Macaca fascicularis: one gene and its partners. The protein of the gene in region 2 purifies or fractionates together with the protein of the main gene of each other region. This does not show direct contact. Links are inferred from orthologs where the notes say so. Each region holds a gene or a part of one and is shown on either strand. Other genes may lie near its edges.

Region 1 (7,388 bases), on a different chromosome or scaffold from region 2:
TCTTATTGCCTCAAAGAGTCTGTTCCATCAGTTATAAGATCGCTATTGTAACAATAGTAAATGTCACTTTCTTTTCCCACTCCCTTTGAATATTTACCCATAGCATCTTCCACACCTAGTTCAAAACACATCTAGGATACTTCAAATCAATTTTTCCACCTTAATCAGATAGCTCTGTTTTGTGTCACATTTAAAGTAAATTATTTACTTTATTTAAGTACTGCTAAGAACACACTCTATGTAAACTATTATACTGGATGCCCAAGGAGATAAGTGGAAGACGGTTCTCTGGCTTTGAGGTGTTTGGTTGAGGCAGCAATATACATTAAAAGTTGAATAGGAATGCAAAGCAGGGTGGGACAAATTCTACAGAAAGTGTGATAGTTTTGAGATTATAGTGGTTGATCTGTTCATTATTTTGTACTCAGGAACTAAAAAATTACTAAGAGTTGTAAGAGCTCTGGTTTTATAACTGAGATAATAAGCCCAGTGACACAAGTGGTCTAAGGTCCCAGCTATGACATGGCAGAGGTTTCCTGTCTCCTGGTCCTATGCTGCTTGTGCATAGGTTCCTAACTATTCACTAGTCTTTTAATCAGTTAATGTTTGCTCTAAGTAGACAGTTTAGTATAGCTAGGTAAGAACTGGGCTCTGAAGCTAAAATGTTTGGGTTTGAATCCTGGCTTTGCTATTTACTGTGTGACTTTGGGTAAGTCACTAATCTCTTTGCTTTACTTACCCACCTATAAAATGAGTATAATAGTAGTACTTTACTTCATAGGGTGCCTTTGAGCATTATATACTTAATATATGTAAAGCAAGAAAAACTGTGGATTTGTTATTATAATTGCTATTTGTCTGTGAGGGAATGGAGGACAAGCAATCTAGTCATCTGATTTTTGTTTTTTAAACCTCTTCCCTCAGCTTCTGATCAAAGCATTCATGTGGGTGTTCAATAAATGCATGTTAGCTACCTTAAGCGTGTTGGGAGTTTTTGTATCACTGAAGTAAGACTTGAGATTTGTGTAAGCCTGGACTAGTCTGGTAACAAGAAAGTCTAGAAAGGTAAAAACTGAGCATCAGATTGATTTTAGGACCTAGCAGAGCTTCTTTTAAAAAAAGTCAAGACAAATAAGTGCTGAGAAAAATGGGGGTCAATGAGTCTAATTCAAAAAGAGCTTTCTCATCTATTTTAAGGTCTGTTTCAAACTTCCTTAGACAAAAATCTGGCCTTTTAAGGAAAGTGCAGAGAACATGCCTTCGTGGGCTTAGTTTGAGGGAATAGGTGCTGCATTTCACCCTGGAGGTGGCTTCGTGAATTTGTGAACTGGGGTGACAACACAGACTCTCTCCAGAAGAAAAGATGCTATCTCTACACGGAGTTTAATTACAATGGCACTACTTTAAACAAGGAGCAGCAGCAGCAGCAGCAGCAGCAGCACCAAACGCCACTGTTAGCCCAGTCAGAGCTCAGCTCCGTATTCAGAATGGAGAAAGCAAGAACCATTTTTTTCCCTGGGGCACCCTTCTCTACTCAAATACCGCTGAAAAAAATTCTGAGACAAGCACTAGGGAGTGGGAAGAGCGGGCGGAAATGAACAATAACCCATATTCAGGGGTTAGAAAAATCATATCAGTAAATCATGGCAGGTTTTTTTGTTTGTTTTTGGCAGGAACTTGCCACTCTTCAGCATCATCCATCAGGAAATCTAGGGTCGGAAAAGTGTACCAACTGGCTTTCCAAATTTTCTGCATTTGGCAGATGCAAATCACAGAGTCCATCCCCACCCTCAGCACTTGGACGGTATCAGGGAAACATAAGTATCAGTGGAAGAATCTTGAAGTGAGAAATAAATAACTGGTCAGGTTAGGGTTAGTGTTCTTGTGTGCAAGGGGGCTAGTGAAGGTCAGGCTTTGGGACGCACCCACAGCGTCAGCAAAGGAGGAAAAATTAAGGGGCAGCATGGGCTGAAAAGCCCCCGAGTTTGAGGTCAAGCCAACGGGCTGGGCCTCTGGTATCCTAGGATCTGCCTTGCACACAACCTTTGGCCGTTTCTCGGTTTGAATCTCGCCTGTACACTTTCAGACGAGACACTGTCTTACTGAGCGTTCTCACAGCGCCTAGCTCAGAGCTGACCGCAGAGCCGGCTCTCAATAACCTCTAGACGCAAAAGCAGCTTTTGAGGTTAGGGGCGAAGGGCATCGGTTTTACTTATTTTAAGGCTGGCGCTCCGGTGCAGCCGGATCCAACTGCCAGCACAATGTTCCCGATCACTTCTCGCTTCCATTTCAGCCCAGGTGACGTCGGGAAACCCACAGGACCCACTAGGGTCTAAGCGGTTAAGCTGGCGTCCTTCGGATGTCAGTCTCGATCCGTTCGGAAACCACAAAATCCAGAATCCCTTGTGCCAGGAGGCCAGGCCGCAAATAAGATGGCTCCAGAAGAGTGGAACATACAGCGGCGGGGAACCTAGTCGTTGGCAGTTTCTTCACGGGATGTGTTTAAATTGCCGAGTCCCCATATACGCGCCACCCCACAAACCTCCTTCCAGGCCGTGGAGGCCACGGCTGCGCCTCGCCCGCTCCTCCAGGAGCATGCTGGGATTTGTAGTCCAGTCGCCGGACTGCGCCTAGCTACCTTTCCCAGCTTGCCCTGCGGCTCGGGTGATATCAACAGTCTTTTCCAGAACTCTGTCTGCACTGAGACCCCCTTCGCCCGGTCCTCTTCTCGCCGTCTACTCCTTCCCATCTGTGGCGACAGAGCGGCGGTTGCAGGAGAGGCCCCGGTCCCTCGCCGCGCCGCCCCAAGCGGCACTTCCGGCGGCGGTTCACTTCCTGGTTGGGTGGATGGAGCCGGGCGGGAGCGCGCGCGGGGGAGGGGCGGCGGGTCAGTCTCCGCCCGGCGCTCCCGGGATCAGCTGGCGGGCGGGCTGGAGCCGAGCGCGGCCCCGGCTCTCGCTGCAGCGCCGCCTCCTCTCTGCGTCGCAGGCCGGCCCGGCGGCCGTGACAATGTCGCGGGGCTGGTAGCTGGGCGCCGGCCGCCGAGCCGTCTCAAGTGGGTGCTGCCAGGATGCTGCCTCGAGGGGCGGCGGGGAGACCCGGGAGGAGCGGGAGGCAGTGCCCGGGAGGGTCGGCGCTGCCCCAGCAGCTCGGATCCCTCCTTTTTCCGAGCTCCCGGCTCGGGGATCCCGGGTTCTGGGGCCGGGGTCGCGTTTTCAGCCCCAGGGTTTTTCTCGCCAGGAAAATATATGAAGCGTTTCCCCAGGATGATGGCTTTTGCTCCACCTAGGACTCAGCGGTTGAATTTTTAAGTGTGTTACTGATTCATCCTCTCTCTCTTCCTCTGTCATCACAGGTTTAAACTTACACGAATCGCTTTCTGGAGGAGGAGGGGACCCGCCGCGCGATTGACACGCATATTCCTATAGGCATCCTCCCTCAGCCCCCACCCCCACGGCCGGATTCGGGTGGCTCCTCTCCGAGCTGAAATCCGAGAAGAAATCCTTGGATCTCTTTTCTTAAAAAAAAAAAAAAAAAAAAAATCTAGAAACCATCGGTATTTTGCTTTGCTGCTCCCTATTCGCAAGATGAAGAAGTTTTTCGACTCCCGGCGAGAGCAGGGCGGCTCTGGCCTGGGCTCCGGCTCTAGCGGAGGAGGGGGCAGCACCTCGGGCCTGGGCAGTGGCTACATCGGAAGAGTCTTTGGCATCGGGCGACAGCAGGTCACAGTGGACGAGGTGTTGGCGGAAGGTACGGTGTGGCTCAATGCGCCGTAAATTAAAATCTTGTGCTGATGCGGCAGTACTGTGGTTTCTAGTTGTTGCATGTATGAATGGGCTTTGACCAGTTGACCCTCCCTTCCCCCTCCACTTGCCCTGTGAGTCATTGTCCTTGAGAGATTTAAAATTGAGATTTGAAAGTGACTGGGCTTATGGGGGTGTGGGGAGGTTGCCGAAATTGTTTACGTTAGTGGCCTTTTATTTTTATTTTTTTAATATTGAGAAGCCAAATTTTGAGGATCACACAAGAAAATGTATGTGTGAAAGTGTAAAGCTTTATGCCAAAGGCAGGGTGATGGGCTTGTCATCCTCCTAAAACTTAAAATCTTGATGTGAAGGCTGAAGGGTGTGGATGGGGGGACTTTTAAGAAGAGAGGGGTTTCTCCGTCTCCTACCCAACTTTCCTACTTCCATGAGCAGGCATTGGAAGGAAGGGAGGATTTTCGGAGAATGTGAACGTGTTTTTCCAAGGGCCAAGGCTCTTGGTGGATTTCACTAGTAGGTTTGTTTCCTGACCCAACTGTAATCGGGTCCCCAGGATATAGCAAAGATAACAAAAATTATATAAAACAAATGTGGTTATTCTGAACTCAGTCTAGTAGGCCCCTCTTCCTCTCGCTTTAGTGTTGTTTTTTTTTTTTTTAAACCAAAAGAAAAATTACTTGAGAGTGGCTCTGATTTTGTTTTTTCACTGTCAGAGAGCATGTTATTTAGATCTGCTGTGTAAATTCCTCTGTGTTTCATCTGTGTATCTATACTCACGTAGATATACATCTTTTTTCCTCCAGGCTTTCGGGAAATCTTTGCATGTCTCTTTTGGTAACCTTAACCTCGACCTTCATAATTATGCCAGACTCATACTTTTCACAGCCCATCGCCTGCCTAGTGTGCTTTTATTTTTAATAAAAGCAGCAATTTCCTTGGCATGAAGCAATTCAGACTAATTGGATGGGGCCGACCTGCTGTAGGTTGTGTTATAGACCGAGAGGGGTTGGAGGAAGGGAGAGGTCTCTATTACTGCAACATGGTGGTGGAAGGGAACAGTTTTATTACCGAGGGAAGAGAGAAAGCTAAGAGGCCTCTTTAAAAAGGGGCGTTTTGCAAACTAAAGTTGAAGCAAGGGTCCTGACCTGGGCCTGGGAAATGCTTACCATGGTGGGTGTTGCAGGCTGGTGGGTGGGTTTGGAAGAGGAGGAAACTGTGTTTGGCTCTCAGCTTGTGTAAGCACTGGATTCAGCAGGGCCCAGTTTTCTGGGAATAGAGTTGAAGCCTATACTTTAAAAACACGATTTTTTAAAAAGATGTCTGACAGTTAATGTCCGTGTGAAATTATTGCTCTTCCAATCTCAGTACTGCTCTAGCTGGGCTTTATCTGGGGCCTGAGTCACTGTCCCTTTGGATCTTTCCTGTGGACTTTGGTGCAGGTTGGGAGATGCTTCTGTGCCCGCTGCCAGATCCGCACCTTGAGTCTGATCTGTCTCTTTCATCCCTGTGCCAAAGCCCTTAACTGCAGTGGGGTGGAGAAATGGTGAAAAGGAGAGTGTGTCAGAGAGAAATCAGGAGAAATGAAGGGCCACAGAGCACTTTCCTCCCCTCTGAATGGCCTCTGCTGACCTTATAGCCCACGAGCATTTTGTTCAGCTAGGATGTTGTCTCATCAAGGATGATGCTGCCCTAAGCGGTGCATGTTCTCCAAGTGTGAGAAGAGTGATAGGGAAGAGAAAAGGCAAAATTGGTCTTTGTTACCTAGGCTGCCTTCCTCTTCTCTGGGATTCATCCTTGAGAACTGCGCATCATGTATTGTGATATTTTTACATGGAATTTAGGACTTGCAGCTCTGCATTTATTCATTCAGCAGTTTATGGAGTTGCCTGTGAAGTGCCAGGTGCTGTGCTAGGTTCTGGGATATGCTGTTAAACCAGAGCTGGCCTTTACCAACTGCTTTAAAAGATGGAAAATAGCCAGTTATAGTGGATTGATAAATACCATCATAGAGATAAACTTAGGGTGAAGTGGCCCCCAGTTTTAGGGAGCCCAGGATCATTTTCTGAAGGAAGTGACTGAAGAGTGAGTAGGAGTTAGTGTGGTGGCACTGTGGGCAAAGACGGAGTAGCAAGAGAGAATGTCACGTAAAACTGGGTCTGGCTATGCTGCCCTTTTTGTGTTCTTTGGCTTAAGTTGAGTTTGAATTTGTGGTTCTTAGAAGTATGTAGAAATGTAGGAGCCAGTACACAAAGTATTTATGTAGCACCTACCAAGTCCAAAGACCGTATGAAGTTCTGAGATGAATAAGGGAGGTCTAAAGTGTGATTGAATCTGCCTTTAAGGTTCTGCCAATGAATTTGGGAAGATGAGGCATACATTCACACATACAGTAGCATGGTTACCGGCACTGTCTATAGAGTCAGACAGATCTAGGTTCAAATTCTGGATCTGTTCTTTACTAGCTGTGGAACTGTAGGCAAGACATTCCAAACCACTCTTGAATCTCTGTTTCCCTGTGGCAGTGGTTCTCAAAATGGGGCATCCTTATCACCTGCAAGCTTGTTGGAAATGGAGATTCTCAGGCCTCACTACACAGGCTGTGAGTGTGGGGCTTAATAAGTTCCTGGAGAGATTCTGATGCAAGGTCAACTTTGAGAACCACTGCCTAATGGGCTGGTCATGAAGATTAAATGAGGCAATATATATAATTCACGTTTTCAGGTGTTCAATAAATGGTAGCCATTACCTACCAGCAGCATTATACATCATATGTATATATGTGGAGAGAGAGAGTGTGTGTGTGTATGTGTGTGTGTGTGTTAAAGGGGAGTGGGAGCAATGTGAAAGCTAGTTGAGCTGCAGCAATCTGAAGCAGTTCCTTTCCCCCATTGTTAGGGGATAGAGCCAGATGTTCTTTGCAGAGTCCTCAGCAGCTCCTTAAAGGCTTAACAGATGTTTTGGGTAGCCACGCTCCTTCCCTGCGCCCTCTTCCCTGTGAGTCCCCAAGTGCTGACCTGTCTACAGTCCCAGCCAGAGTGGTTTAAGGACCATGGGAGTTGTACCCTGGGTGCCCAGAGCAGTGGCCAGGCAGTTTAGGGAGGAGTGGTGTGAGAGGCTTCAAAACACAGACCAGATTACCGCCACATTCCACTGATGATCTCTTTTTCTCTAGTGCGGGTATTGGTGTGTGCTTTTTCGTGAGGAATTGCAAGAACCCCAAGGAGCGGGTGCTGGGCAAGACAAAAAGATGCCGCACTGCCATATCTCCCCTGGTATATCAGCCTTCCTGGCCTGGTTTCACTAACTAGTCCAGCAGGGGCTGTTTGGGGGAAGTGAAGGCTTTAAGTTATGAGTTTAGAGGAATATGGCTATTTCTAGGCTGGGTGCCAGGGAGAATATTTTCTTTCTAGCTTTCTCAGCGAAGATGCCATGATGAGATGCTAAATCATGTCTAAGTTAATAGGCATATGATGTCAAGGGAAGATTTGGTTTAAGCTTCCAGAATGAGCTCAATGGGAAAATTGGAGCAATGTTCAAGGAAGGCTTGAGAAGCTGTGCTTTTATCATACTTCCTTAGCTATACGAGGACTTATATCTAAGCTTTAAACAATAAATGTTTATTTA
Region 2 (7,118 bases):
CGGAAGGAGAGGCTCTCGGAGCAGAAGAGGCCATCCTGAAGCATAAAGTTTACGTCAAAAGTTTACATGGAGAAGGCGGTTCCGCTCTGAAGCCTGGTCTGCTGTCCTTTTGGGCGGTGTTGGTTGTGAAGCCTCCTGGGCCTGTTGGTCCTCCGATTTCATCCTCAGGACATAATGCTCACCAACAGTACTTGCACTGAGTTGACATTCTTGTACTCTTGACTCCATATGTTTTTTAAAATGTATGTTCACACCAATAATCGCCTACTTCAGAGGTTAATATAACAAAACCAATAAAACCGAGTGATGGTGTTTGTATTGGAAAAAAAGTGTTCCATGTTCCTTCTCACCTACGTTTCTGTCCACCTTTCCCTCTAAAAGTTCCTTCCCCACCCCTGCCCCAGCCCCGCAATTTCTGCATCAGTCATGACTAAGCCTTATTTAAGCTTAAGGACATAAAATATACAGTACCTAATGCAGTGCCTGACCTATATAGCAGAGGGTTAAAAATGGGCTTAGCTAGCTTAGGTCTCTTCTTTGTCCTCTCAATGACTCCTATTTGCTTATAAGATAAAATTGTAATGACTTTGATGGTCTGCAAGATCCATAATTTGGTCTCTGCCTATCTCCCCAGTTTCAGGTCTTGCCACCACCCTGTATTACACTTGCTATTTTTGCAGATGCTATTCTGTAATTTTAGACTCCCATGCTTTTTCTCACACTGCTCCTACCTAAATGCCCATTCTTTCTACGCCTGTACACTTCTTATTTTCATCACCTTCTACATAGTTTTTCTTCCTTACAGTTTTCCTCTTCTTCAGCTCTCCTTTTCTTCACTTTAAGAAACTGGCCACTATCTCCTTAAGAAACTGACCACTATCTCCTTTGTACATCCACTGTACCTGCATACGTTCTTCAATCAAAACAATCTTGTACTAGTCGACAGTGAAAGAAAGAGATAAGGTTCAACTCCCCTGAAGGCAGGAACATTGCCGTGTGTATCTTTAAGTCCTCTTCACCTGGTCGCAGTACTTTCTACATAGTAATTCCTGTATTCTAAATAATCCGCATTTTTCCTTGTATACTCTTATATAAACTAACATAAGTTGCTATCAGGGATCTTTCAAAACAGAAATAATATTCTTTTGGGTTAATTCTGGGCCCGATCTCTTCTTGCCAAGCAAACAACTATGCAAATATAACTGTGCAAATTAAGGTTATTATGCACTTTCTGATAACACTTTCCTATTCTAAATTAGGGGAGAAATAGTCCCAATAAGATCTATAATTAGAAACAATATTTTGGGGCCGGGCGCGGTGGCTCACGCCTGTAATCCCAGCACTTTGGGAGGCCGAGACGGGCGGATCACGAGGTCAGGAGATCGAGACCATCCTGGCTAACACGGTGAAACCCCGTCTCTACTAAAAAATACAAAAAAAAAAACTAGCCGGGCGAGGTGGCGGGCGCCGGTAGTCCCAGCTACTCGGGAGGCTGAGGCAGGAGAATGGCGTGAACCCGGGAGGCGGAGCTTGCAGTGAGCTGAGATCCGGCCACCGCACTCCAGCCTGGGTGACAGAGCGAGACTCCGTCTCAAAAAAAAAAAAAAAAAGAAACAATATTTTGAAGAGATAGCAAACTAAGTTGTATTACATTGTATTACATTGTTTCGAGATACCTTGTTTAAAGAGTTACTTCTCCGCCGGGCGCGGTGGCTCAAGCCTGTAATCCCAGCACTTTGGGAGGCCGAGGCGGGTGGATCACGAGGTCAGGAGATCGAGACTATCCTGGCTAACATGGTGAAACCCCGTCTCTACTAAAAATACAAAAAACTAGCCGGGCGTGGTGGTGGGCGCCTGTAGTCTCAGCTACTTGGGAGGCTGAGGCGGGAGAATGGCGTGAACCCGGGAGGCGGAGCTTGCAGTGAGATCACGCCACTGCACTCCAGCCTGGGAGACACAGCGAGACTCCGTCTCAAAAAAAAAAAAAAAAAAGAGTTACTTCTCAAAAGCTACTGTTGGGCGGGTGCGGTGGCGCACGCCTGTAATCCCAGCGCTTTGGGAGGCCTAGGCGGGCAGATCACCTGAGGTCGGGAGTTCAAGACCAGCCTGACCAACATGGAGAAAATCTGTCTCTACTAAAAATATAAAATTAGCCAGGCGTGATGGTGCATGCCTGTAATCCCCTCGGGAGGCTGAGGCTGCAGAATCGTTTGAACCTGGGAGGCGGAGGTTGTGATGAGCTGAGATCATGCCATTGCACTCCAACCTGGGTAACAAGAGCGAAACTCCGTCTCAAAAAATAAGAAATAAAAAACAATGCTACTGTTAACTAATCTACTCCACTTGGATCCACCAGATACTTTGAATGAGAAGTGGGAACCACTCTACTGACCTTCCTACCCCTACTACTGCCACTCCAGCTTAACAGTAATTACCTTCACAAAGACAGAAAGGAGTTATCAAATCACCAAAATAACTCTAAAAACAGAAAGTGAGGTGATCTTTCTTACTCACAGTCCCACTTATTCATTTAGAAGTGCCGAGCACCAAAACAAACCTTATCACATATTCAGTATTTCGTGAATAACTGCCAAGTATGATGCAATACTCCCCAAAGTACTGCAGCCTTAGGACACGACCACTCCACTAAATAAAAAATTCAGCGAAAGCTTTTCTAACAAGGCTGGATGGTGCACTAACTCAACGGCCAAACGGCTGCACTTCCTGTACATGCACGTTCAAAACACCTCGAACTAACATGCTAGGGACCTTGAAGAACTGTACTAGGCCTTGCTCAAGAGGAAGGCTTTGTAATACTGAATCCCAAAAGTTGAAGCAGCAGAATTACTTCAGGGAAGACGCAGGTGTGAAATATTCCGTAAAACCTGTTTCACTCTCACAACGATCAGGTTTTTAAAAAGAGGGAGAAAACTGACTTCATTTAAGAGCATTTTGGCAACACACATAGTTGAACATGAGTTGTGAAAAGAAATCTCAACTCCATCCAGATCTGTCCGTCCATTCCCACGGAAACCTGAAGGAAGGACCGCAGCACCAAAGGCGCCCACTGCTCAGTGCCAGCGGCGGGCGACACCAGGAGCCTGTCCTGGTCCCCTGGGTAAGCCCCGGAGCCTGGCCACTATGCCGGGCACGATCCAACCGTGAGGGCTGGATCCCCTCACCTCTGTCCAGGCGCCCCCCAAGAGCTTCCCCGAGGCCTGGGGACTCCTAACTCTCCACGCCTGGCCCCCGAGAGCACCACAAACGCGGACGCCACGAAGGGAGGCCCGTCGGCCAGTGGGAGGGACGCACGGCCAGGGGGGTGAAAACTGGGGCGAAGGTTTCCCGGGAGAAACCGACGAGGGGGCAGCCACGCCCCCCGCCCCCAACTTCAAACCCGAGGGCTGCGAGCACCGAGCCCCACACGCTGCCTGACAGACGCAGGCGCGAGGCCGGCGCGGGAGAGGGCTCCTCGGGCACTCCAGGGGCATCGCCGCGACCCTCGCACGCGACCGCTCCCTGGGACTGACCTGTGCCTGCCGCCGCGCGACCGCCCGCCCCGCCGCAGCCTCCGCCTCCTCGCGCTCACTCTGCCGCCGCAGCCACCGGAGCCGCCTCCTGCGCTGCGCCCCAGGCCGGCCTCGGGCGCCCCATTCCCACCCCGCCCAGCCTCCGCCTGTTTACAATGATTGGGACGGAACAGGACGAGCCGGTCTAGCGCGCACGCGCATTCCCTCCTCCCGCCGCAGCCGGCTTCCCGGATCCTCCTCTCCGCTCAGACGGCTGAAGCCGTCAAGGGCAGGCGCCCTGTGCTCTCGCGCGGGTCGCGCTGGGAGGCGTAGTTCCCGAGGCCCCGGCATCCAACTAGCCAGAAGGCCTTTTGCCAAGGAAGCAAACTACAACACCCAGGAGGCACCGCGCCTCCTTCGTCCCCAGGCTCGCTGAGGAGACTAAAGAAGGCGGCGAGAGAACGCGCCGAGCGCCAGTGCTCTGCAGGCGCCTGCGCAGTCGCTGGCCTTGCGGGATGCGGGGACGGACACTTACCCCGGTGTGGTGCTGGCAAAGGTGTCTCGTGGGCATGTCCTGCAACGGCCCAGAGGATGGAGAGAGCTTCCCTCTCCACGCTCTGGCCAGCCTGCGCCTCAGCTCCCGAAGTTGAGAACTTTCCTTGCGCCAGCGTGCTTTCGTCGTTCCAACCAGTTAAACCGGCCTGGGGGCCGCCCGGCCTGCCCCTGGGTGGGGCTGCTGCCCCGCCTTCGACTGGGTGTGGGGTTGGAGGAAGGAGCGCCGTAGGCCTGTAGGGAGAGGCGGGAATAAACCTCTGTCGGGAACATCCACGGAATTCCTGAAGCGGGTGTGGGCTTCTGCGGGGCTCCAGCGCGCCCCCGGCTCAGCAGTTACCGAGCAGCCCAGCCCGTGTTTGGCTGGCAGTAGAGATAACTGAATTTCTTCGAGAAGCCTTTCACCCAGGCTTGTTGAGTTGCTCTGCTAATGCATAGCGAAGGCTGGAAACAGGGCTTCAGCAGTCTTCGTGTTTTCTGAAATGTGGCAGTTTATGAGGGGAGAGGTGGGACTTGGAATAGACGACCCTTCCCTGTCCCTGGCATTCCTACGTGCAGCACTCTCTGTGGCTCCTCGTTGCCTATTTAGATTGGCAGCTGCTGTCCATCTTGCTCTCTGCTCCCACATCAGCTTTCCTCAAAGCGGGCGGTAAATCTGTCTCTAGTACTCTGCGCTTCCTACCCAGTAAAGTTCAACCCCTGGGGCCTTACATTCATTTAGGGGCCTCCCACAAGTGGATACGGCATGGTCTCACATAGCCATTGGTCTTTGACTTTCGGAAAAGCCTTCTCATGGCCCGTTTCGCAATACAACAGTCTTCTCTGACCAGTGGGTTGGGCAGGTGAGCATGGCAGTGACAATTCTTTGCCTGTGACAGCACTGATTCGGCCAAGGGACAGGCATTGATCCACGCTGGGCCTTATGGAGGCCTTGCCTGAAATTGCTATATGGACGCAAGAGGGGGGCAGAGGGAGTTTTCTACTGAGGCAATTGCTGATGGACGTGTTTCTTGCAACCGAGTGGCCTAGCCAAACGTGAGGGTGGGAAAGAGAAGAAAGGGGAAATGGAAAGGGAGAAAGAGCTGGCAGAATGTAGACCGTGGTTTCATTTGGAGGCATGGTTTGTGCAGCTTTTTAAGTGCTGTGAGCACGTGAGCCTAAGTAAGTGGGCCCACTGATTGATTGATTTATTATTTGGAACCAATGTGTGTGGATATAGAATATATTTGTTGGCTGCCACCTGAGCATTTATTCCTCCCATTTAAGCCAGGCAACGTAACCATTCCCTCTAGCAGCAGAGATGGTCACAAGCCCAGTCAGAAACAATGAACCCACAAAGACTTGGGCTGGAACTTCCAGTAAACGGTAGCTTCCTTGCTTCTCTAGCATGGTGTAAGTATATGACGCCTGGAAATGTGGCAACCGTTTTCCTCCTATAAGGGGAAACCCTAGAAGGATGAGAGTTTAGAGGGAAGGCAACATGTAGAGCCTAGGGTTGAAGTCAGTACTGTCAAATGAACGCGGGAAAGATGGAGAAGAACCTTGTGTTTGGTGGCATGGTTTGAGCTGCAGTGTCAAACCTCACCTGTTTGATTATATGGACTATCCTATAGACTATTCGGGATTGTGAGCAAGGCCATCTTACAGACTATCCAGAATTGTGAACCACAAATTTCCTGTATTGTTTAAGCCAGTTCATATTAAAATTCTAAAAGTCCTAACTAAATCAGTTGGATTTCTTTTATATGACACTGAAAGGTCCTAACTAATACAGGTTCCTACGTAAAAAAACTTTGCAAGGGACTTTCAGCTATGGCTGTGTGGCATAGTCAGCAATTCTCTGCACACAAAACCAGTATAAAACTGGATAAATTGGCAAAAACAACCATTTCAGAGCACTGGATATCAAACAAATACAGAAAACAATTTGAGAAACATCTGTGCTTCAAAAACAGCTAGAACTTCTAGCAGGAACAGTGGATATCTGTGGCCTTCTGACCTGAGGCTGCTTCTCTCCCACCCTGTTGCACCAGAACTGCAGTTTTGCCAGTGTGGGTAGGAACAGCCAAGAAAACTAGCAGCTTTGTTGCCCAAGGGATGGACTTAATTTGTGGTGGGTGGTCAAAAACCCAAGGCTTTGCCAACTAAAAGTGACAAACTCATATGGAAATGAACAGGGCAAACCCACAGCTGTGCTTACCTGAGGTTACAGTCCCAGGTGGGGCAAATGGCAAGCCACTCAAAAATCTAACAGGGAGATTTTAGAAATAAGAGTCATTGAAGAATTATGGTTACACCACTGCACTCCAGCCTGTACTTTTTAACTCTGGAAATAACATTCTTTTTTATAGAGTCTACTTCCCCACAGAACTACTCTATTTGTTAATTACATCTCCACACATCTCTGACTGATTGGGAAACTATGCATCTGCCTAGGGTTGACCCAAGAGACCTGTTGAAAAGTAAAAGCAAAAGGAGACTTGAGAACTGGTGGCAACTGTGAATGTATTCCCTAATCCACACACAGATCCATTAGCAGAGGGAAGAAGACTCCCAAATCAAGGTGTTTGAGTGCAACCACTGCCAAATCATTGACTCTCCACAGCTATGCAAACACAGGGACAAAGCCCAGAAAGTCAGGGTAAAAATAAAAATGTGAATTTAAAAACAGAGCAAAGATACCAGCAGCCACAGGCCATATAGAGACAGATTTTAAATCTGTGTAAATCTAGGAAGATAAATTAAAAAAAAATAAAATAAAACTAAGAAAAATCAAACATCTAGAATTGCTGCAATATATAAAATATCTGCTTTTCAGCGGTGGCTCAAGCCTGTAATCCCAGCACTTTGGGAGGCCGAGACGGGTGGATCACGAGGTCAGGAGATCGAGACCATCCTGGCTAACACGGTGAAACCCCATCTCTACTAAAAAATACAAAAAACTAGCCGGGCGAAGTGGCGGGCGCCTGTAGTCCCAGCTACTTGGGAGGCTGAGGCAGGAGAATGGCGTGAACCCGGGAGGCGGAGCTTGCAGTGAGCTGAGATCCGGCCACTGCA
Region 3 (7,145 bases), on a different chromosome or scaffold from region 2:
TCTTCTCCCATTCTGCAGGTTGTCTTTTCATTCTGTTGATGTTTCCTTTGGTGTGCAGAAGCCTTTCAGTTTAATACATTCCCATTTGCTTATTTTTGTTTTTTTGGCCTGTGCTTTCAAGGTCTTAGCCATAAAATCCTTGTCCAGACCAATGTCCTGAAGCATTTCCCCAGTGTTTTCTTCCAGTAGTTTTACAGTTTTAGGTCTTATAATTAAGTTTTTAATACATCTTCAGTTGATTTTTGTATATGCTGAGAGAGAGAGAGAAAGGTCTTGTTTTATTCTTCTGCTTATGGATAGCTGGTTTTCCCAGCACCATTTATTGTAAAGACTGTCCTTTCCCAATGTATTTTCTTGGTGGTTTGTTGGAGGTCAGTTGGCTGTAAATGTGTGGGTTTATTTCTGGGTTCTCCAGTCTGTTCTATTGGTTTATGTATCTCTTTTTATGTCAGTACCATGCTGTTTTGGTTACCATAGCTTTGTAGTATATTTTGAAGTCAGGTAGTGTGATGCCTCCAGCTTTGTTCTTTTTGCTCAGGATTGCTTTGGCTATTCAGGTTCTTTTGTGGTTTTATACAATTTTTAGGATTTTTTTTTCTATTTTTGTGAAGAATGTCACTGGTATTTTGATAGTGATCACAGTGAATATATAGATTTCTTTGGGTAGTATGGTTATTTTAATAATATTAATTATTCCAATCCATGAGCATGGGATGCCTTTCCATGTTTTTATGTCCTCTTCAATTTTTTAAATCAATGTTTTGTAGCTTTCTTTGTAGTAAAATATATTTTTTATTAGTGCTTAACCCTAGACTGATGTTTTCTTTTGGGTTAGTGTTTCCCAGTGAGGCTTCATGCATATATTTCTGCAGGTCTTCCCAGGAAAAATGACATTTAAAAAGATAATTTTTGGAAAAGAGATGCAGATATGTGGACCTGATGCTGGAACTTCCAGTGCAATGGTGGGACAGACTTTTTTTTTTTTCCAGTGGCTTCTTTTCTGGTCTCTCTCTCTCTCTCTCTTTAGACAGAGTCTCGCTCTGTTGCCCAGGCTGGAGTGCAGTGGTGTGATCTTGGCTCACTGCAACCTCCATCTCTCAGGTTCAAGTGATTCTCCTGCCTCAGCCTCCCAAGTAGCTGGGATTGCAGGCACTCACCACCATGGCCCAGCTAGTTTTTGTATTTTTAGTAGAGGTGAGATTCCACCATGTTGGCCAGGCTGATCTCGAACTCCTGGACTCAGGTGATCTGCCTGCCTTGGCCTTCCAAAGTGCTGGGATTACGGGCATGAGCCACCGCACCCGGCCTGGACTTTCTTTTAAAAGTGGCTAGAGGGCTCAAGTGGCTCAAGCCTGTAATCCCAGCACTTTGGGAGGCCGAGGTGGGGGGTGTGTGGATCACCTGAGGTCAGGAGTTCGAGACCAGCCTAACAAACATGGTGAAACCCCGTCTCTACTAAAAATACAAAAACTAGCCAGTCATGGTGGCAGGCACCTGTAATTCCAGCTACTCGGGAGGCTGAGACAGAATAATTGCTTGAACCCGGGAGGTGGAGGTTGCAGTGAGCCAAGACTGTGCCATTGAACTATAGCCTGGGCAACAAGACTGAAACTCCATCTCAAAAAAAAAAAAAAAAAAGGCTAGAGTACTAGCCAGGGGGAAGCAAGCACATTTGAAAAATACAGTGTGTATGCTTTAGGATAGGGAGGAATGGAGAGAGAGGAGGACATGGACAGGGATGGAAAGATGTGGGTTCTCGCATTGATTTTTGGCGTGAGCTTGAAAAAGTTTTGTACTTAAAAAAAAATTCCTGTTTTACTACCAAAATAAGTGCTTCCTGTGGAGAGTGAGGATCCTCTGTTACTGAGGTTTGTATTTTCAGGCCCTAGCATATAAATCTGCTACATACGAGATATTCAACTAGTTTTGAAGGAATGAAGGTGAACATGGCAGTTTCCTCATATGTAAAAGCAGGATTTGGACAAAATGATCTGCAAAATGGGTCTTTTACTACTCTAGTATTTACGAGTAACCGATGTTATTCCTTATGAAGTCTCAACTCCTGGTTTGAGCCATGTCTGAAGAGGTGGCCTAACTCCAATACCCACTGAACAGTTTGGCGTCAGTGGGACCCTGTTTGTACAGACGTCTGTGTCTTCCAGCTGTTTAGGACATAAGCACTACTGCTATGGAAGAAAGGAAACCTAATTTCCCATGCCTTGTCCGTTTTCTGGAAAGGGCATGGCGTGGTGTGGGCACCACACTTGCCCCAGCCTTCTGGCGAAAAAACACCACGACCTTCCCCGCTCCCCGAAAAGAGCTTTTCTCCAGTTGGGTCTAGATGCGCCCTTCCCAACCAGGGCGGATGGCCAAAGACTCCGCTCCCTTGCAGGGTAGGCTTGGAAAGGCACGGGGCTCGCCTTCCTGGGCAGCGGAGCAGGTGACGCGCGGAGGGCAGGCAGCGCGCTGGGTTAGTTACCTGGCGCTGGGCGGGGCAGGCGGGAGGCGGGGGCGGGGCCGCGGTGAGATATCAGGCTGTGATTGGGCCGCTCCGCGCCTGTCTCCATGTGCCGCGCAGCTGAGGCACAACATTCAAGCCCGGGGGCGGGGCCGGCGCGCGCCGGGAGGAAGCGGCCGCGCGGCAGCTGCGGGGCGTGGGGGTGGCGGCGGCGTCGGCTGAGGCCGAGGAGCCGGTGGCTGTGGCGGACGCAGCGGCACCCCAGCTAGGGACAGGGCTCCGCCGCGCCCCCTTGCTGGTCCCATGGAGGCGGCAGCGGCGGCGGCGGCGGGTGGGGGCTGTGGCTCCGGGCCGCCACCGCTGCTGCTGAGCGAGGGCGAGCAGCAGTGCTACTCCGAGCTCTTCGCGCGCTGTGCCGGCGCCGCGGGCGGGGGCCCCGGGTCTGGGCCTCCCGAGGCCGCCAGAGTCGCCCCCGGCACGGCCACTGCAGCCGCCGGCCCAGTGGCTGACCTGTTTCGGGCGTCGCAGCTGCCAGCCGAGACGCTGCACCAGGTGGGTCCCTCCGCCTCTTGTCCCTGCGGGTCTGTGGGGCAGTGTCTGCGGGGGCGGAGGTTGCGAGTGGGGCGACAGGGCTGCCCCCAGGGACCCGGAGGCCTCGGCCAGTTGTCAGAGAACTCTGCAGCCGGGGATAGCGGCGACGCCCTTGTACCCGGGGGACACCAGCCTCCTCCGCAGCTCAGCTCCTCGCCCAGTCAGTGCTGGGTGCGCGCTCCCCATCTTCCTTCCCTGAGACTGTCTGACATTCCCTCCCCTCCCCCGGCCATTTCTGGGGTTCTGCAGCCGCCCAGACCCAAAGTTTGCCCTGTTCTGGAAGTGGTGTTTGTTTTGGCTGCTGCCTGGTTTAACCTCTGCTCGCTGCTCCTGCCCCTCCCTCTCCTGAGTGGGCTGTCAGGGTGCCTTGCTGGGATTTGAACCTGAGGGGTGTGTGTGTCTGTAGGGTTGGAGGCCCAGGGCTGAATGTTGTCCTCTGTATGTAGTTGTGATATATACGTATCTACAATATGTAATTGCCCATAACATATTTCTAAATATTAATATTAAATCAAAAACCTTAATGACAAGTTGCAGAACAGGGACACGGGACTGCAAGAGGACGTTTGTCAAGTCAAAACCAAATTTCCCATTTGAGGCTAGAGGTGGACTTCAGAAGTCCACCATGGGAAACAGCTGTAGTTTCCCATCTATCATTACTTGGACTTGAAATAGAATTGAAAGGTAAGGGGTGTCATAGCTACCACCTTTTGACTGTTCTATACTTGGAAAAGGACTAGGGGATGATACATACCAGACGCTGTGTTTGTTTTGTGCTTTCCTTGGAGCTTGGAGAAAGACTAATTGATAAGCCTTTGTCTGTCATTTCATGTCACCAGCACTTCATGGTGATAAGATTGTTAATATCAGGTTCAAAACGTCAAATGAAGCTTTCCTTAAAAGCAATAGTATGAATGTTATTAACACCAATGGAATATTTAGAGTGGTGAGTGGTATTTTAAAATCTAGTTTCAAAGGAGAACTGAGGGTTTTATGGTTCACTTGCAATGTCATTGTGTTCATACGTATTTTTAAAGAAATTACTTAAGACTGCGTTTTATATTGCTAGAGTGTTTGTACTGCCCTGTGTTTGTGAGCGTAACTTTAAACACTTTGTAATCTTTCACCCTTTTGAATTTGGGATTTCTGAAAATATAATTAGTATTCACAGAACTTAGCATGGCTGTTTGTCCCTAAAAAAGTCCTTGATATACAGACAGTTCTGCCATTGCTGACGAGTAGTTGAGCTGGATCAGGTAAAGAGAAAATCAGTGTCTTAAAACACAAACCATGACTATTACTTGAGGCCCTCAGAATACTCCCGAGCATAACACATTTATTCAATGCTGTAACTGCTTCCCAGCTGAAAGAGGAATAATTGACTGAGGCTATGCAGCAAGTAAGTGACAGCTGGGTACCTATTAAGGCTTATTTTGTTGTCAGTAATGCATCGGATAAGAGGAGGTGGGCATAGTAAATCTGAATATGTTGGTCGATGCCTCCTTAGGAACTGGGAAGAAGGATTTCCTGATGTTAGAACCCATGCTTTCTTGAGGTACATATGGTTTTAAAAGGACCCAAGGCACAGTGCCTGTGCGTGAATGAGATTATATTTTTGATGTCCAGTTGAAATCTGCTTGCAAAAGACTGCTTCAGATACTGGCCAAAGGGGACATCCCTACAGTATTGCTTGGAGTAAATCTCTCAGAGCTTGAAGCTCCCTTATTCAGCCTAGCAAAGCAAAACACATCATCCCCCTTCAATCCAACAAAATTACCATAACTCATTATTCTTGGTACAGGTGAAAATGAACACTGAAGGCATCCCGGACATGTAATCCTAAGAGAGTCAAACAAAGTCAGCAACCAGCAGACCCCTAATTTTCACCCATCACTTTGGTGGTGGTGGTGGTGTGTGTATGCTCCATCCACTTTAATTTGTATTACCCCATCGGTGTATTAGCCATTCTTTAAAACAAACATAGATGTTTTTATCCTTTCCCTGTTAAACAGGAACCTGTAAGTTGAGATTTAAGTGCCCCGACAGGTATAACTGCTCAAATCTTGGAGGCACTAACCAGCCCTGGTATTTTCTATGGTAACAACCAGGTTTTCCTCTTAATAAGCGTACAATTAAGATTACCATAATAATGTTCCAGGAAGAATGAGAATCTTGCAGTCTTACCACAAGTAAATGGTCTATAAAAATATTTATTTATTATTTATTTATTTTTTGAGATGGAGTCTCATTCTTTTGCCCAGGCTGGAGTGCGGTGATGTGATCTCAGCTCACTGCAACCTCCGCCTCCCCGGTTCAAGCGATTCTTCTGCCTCAGCCTCCCGAGTAGCTGGGACTACAGGCGCATGCCACCACGCCTGGCTAATTTTTACATTTTTGGTAGAGACAGCCGTTTGCCGTGTTGGCCAGGCTAGTCTCGAACTCCTGACTTCAGGTGATCCATCCACCTTGACCTCCCAAAGTACTGTGATTACAGGCGTGAGCCATCGTGTCCGGCCTTAACATATTTTTTAATAGGCTATTTTTTTTTTTCAGAGCAGTTTTAGGTTCACAGCAAAATTTAGCAGAGTACCCATATATCCCCTGCCCTGACACACCAGTAGCTTTCCCCACTCTCAACATCCGGCACCAGAATAATAGAGTTTTTACAATCAGTGAACCTACATTGACACATCATTATTCCCCAAAGTCTATATATTAGGGCTCACTCTTGGTGTTGTACATTCTGTGGGTTTGGACAAATGTATAATGACATGGATCTACCATTGTAGTATCATACAGAATAGTTTCACTGCTCTAAAAATCTGTGCTCTATCGATTCATCCCTCCCTCTCCACTAACATGTGGCAATCACTGATTTTTTTTTTAACTGTCTCCATAGTTTTGCCTTTTTTTTTTTTTTTTTTTTGAGACAGAGTCTTGCTCTGTCGCCCAGGCTGGAGTGCAGTGGCGGATCTCAGCTCACTGCAAGCTCCGCCTCCTGGGTTCACGCCATTCTCCTGCCTCAGCCTCCCGAGTAGCTGGGACTACAGGCGCCCGCCACCTCGCCCGGCTAGTTTTTTGTATTTTTTTTTAGTAGAGACGGGGTTTCACCGTGTTAGCCAGGATGGTCTTGATCTTGTGACCTCGTGATCCGCCCGTCTCGGCCTCCCAAAGTGCTGGGATTACAGGCTTGAGCCACCGCGCCCGGCCAGTTTTGCTTTTTTAAGAATGTCATATAGTTGGAGTCATACAGTATGTAGACTTTTCACATTGGCTTCTTTCATGTAGTAATATGCACTTAAGATTCCTCCATGTCTTTTTATGGTTTGGTGGCTCATTTCTTTATAGTGCTGAATAATATTCCATTGTCTGGATGTACTACAGTTTCACCTACTGAAGGATATCTTGGTTGCTTCCAAGTCTGGGCAATTATGGATAGACCTGTTATAAACATCTGTATGTAGGCTTTTTTGTTACATGCAAGATATAAGCTTTTGACTCATTTGGGTAAATAGCAAGGGGGCATGATTGCTAGATTGTGTGGTAAGAGTATATTTAGTTTTATAAGAAACTGCCAGACTGCCTTCCAAAGTGGTTGTACCATTTTGCATTCCCATCAGCAATGAATTGGTCTCTTTACAGAGTATTTATTTTCCTTTGCTGACTTATTTTAACAGCAGGATTCCAGCATTAGGTGGAAAACATATGAGTTTCTGATGTGTGTCAGGTACTATCCTAGGTGCTGAGGTTATAATAGTGAATCCAACATAATCTCTGTCTTCATGGAGCTTATGTTCCCATGCAAATGTTTTTACACTTCAGAGTTTTTATTTGGTTGAGAAAAGACTTGAAATATAATATCCAAAAATAAAATGTCAGCCTGGTGCCGTGGCACACGCCTGTAGTCCCGGTGCTTTGGGAGGCCAAGGATGGGAGGATTGCTTGAGGCCAGGACTTTGAGATCAGCCTGGGTAACATAGTGAGACCCTGTCTCTACACAAAATAAAATAGCCGGGCACGGTAGCATGCGCTGGTAGTCCTAGCTACTCTGGAGGCTGAGGCAGGAGAATTGCTTGAGCCTGGGAGTTCAAGGTTA

The links. The genes of interacting proteins can lie anywhere in the genome.
Region 1: the proteins of RALBP1 (region 2) and AAK1 purify together in Homo sapiens (affinity purification with mass spectrometry; 3 studies listed by BioGRID and IntAct, counting the BioPlex papers as one, with this or other methods). This does not show direct contact. The link is inferred for Macaca fascicularis from reciprocal best matches to the Homo sapiens genes RALBP1 and AAK1.
Region 3: the proteins of RALBP1 (region 2) and REPS2 purify together in Homo sapiens (affinity purification with mass spectrometry; 3 studies listed by BioGRID and IntAct, counting the BioPlex papers as one, with this or other methods). This does not show direct contact. The link is inferred for Macaca fascicularis from reciprocal best matches to the Homo sapiens genes RALBP1 and REPS2.

Annotation. Positions count from the first base shown.
Region 1 is NC_088387.1:52,310,562-52,317,949, forward strand, and holds the start of AAK1 (AP2-associated protein kinase 1), read left to right. Parts: upstream 1-2,890; 5' UTR 2,891-3,055; intron 3,056-3,355; 5' UTR 3,356-3,587; coding exon 3,588-3,750; intron 3,751-7,388.
Region 2 is NC_088392.1:77,826,153-77,833,270, reverse strand, and holds the start of RALBP1 (ralA-binding protein 1), read right to left. Parts: upstream 4,176-7,118; 5' UTR 4,045-4,175; intron 3,707-4,044; exon of another isoform or gene 3,531-3,706; intron 2,267-3,530; exon of another isoform or gene 1,677-2,266; intron 1-1,676. UniProt on the Homo sapiens protein: Multifunctional protein that functions as a downstream effector of RALA and RALB. As a GTPase-activating protein/GAP can inactivate CDC42 and RAC1 by stimulating their GTPase activity.
Region 3 is NC_088395.1:16,754,776-16,761,920, forward strand, and holds the start of REPS2 (ralBP1-associated Eps domain-containing protein 2), read left to right. Parts: upstream 1-2,647; 5' UTR 2,648-2,761; coding exon 2,762-3,010; intron 3,011-7,145. UniProt on the Homo sapiens protein: Involved in ligand-dependent receptor mediated endocytosis of the EGF and insulin receptors as part of the Ral signaling pathway. By controlling growth factor receptors endocytosis may regulate cell survival.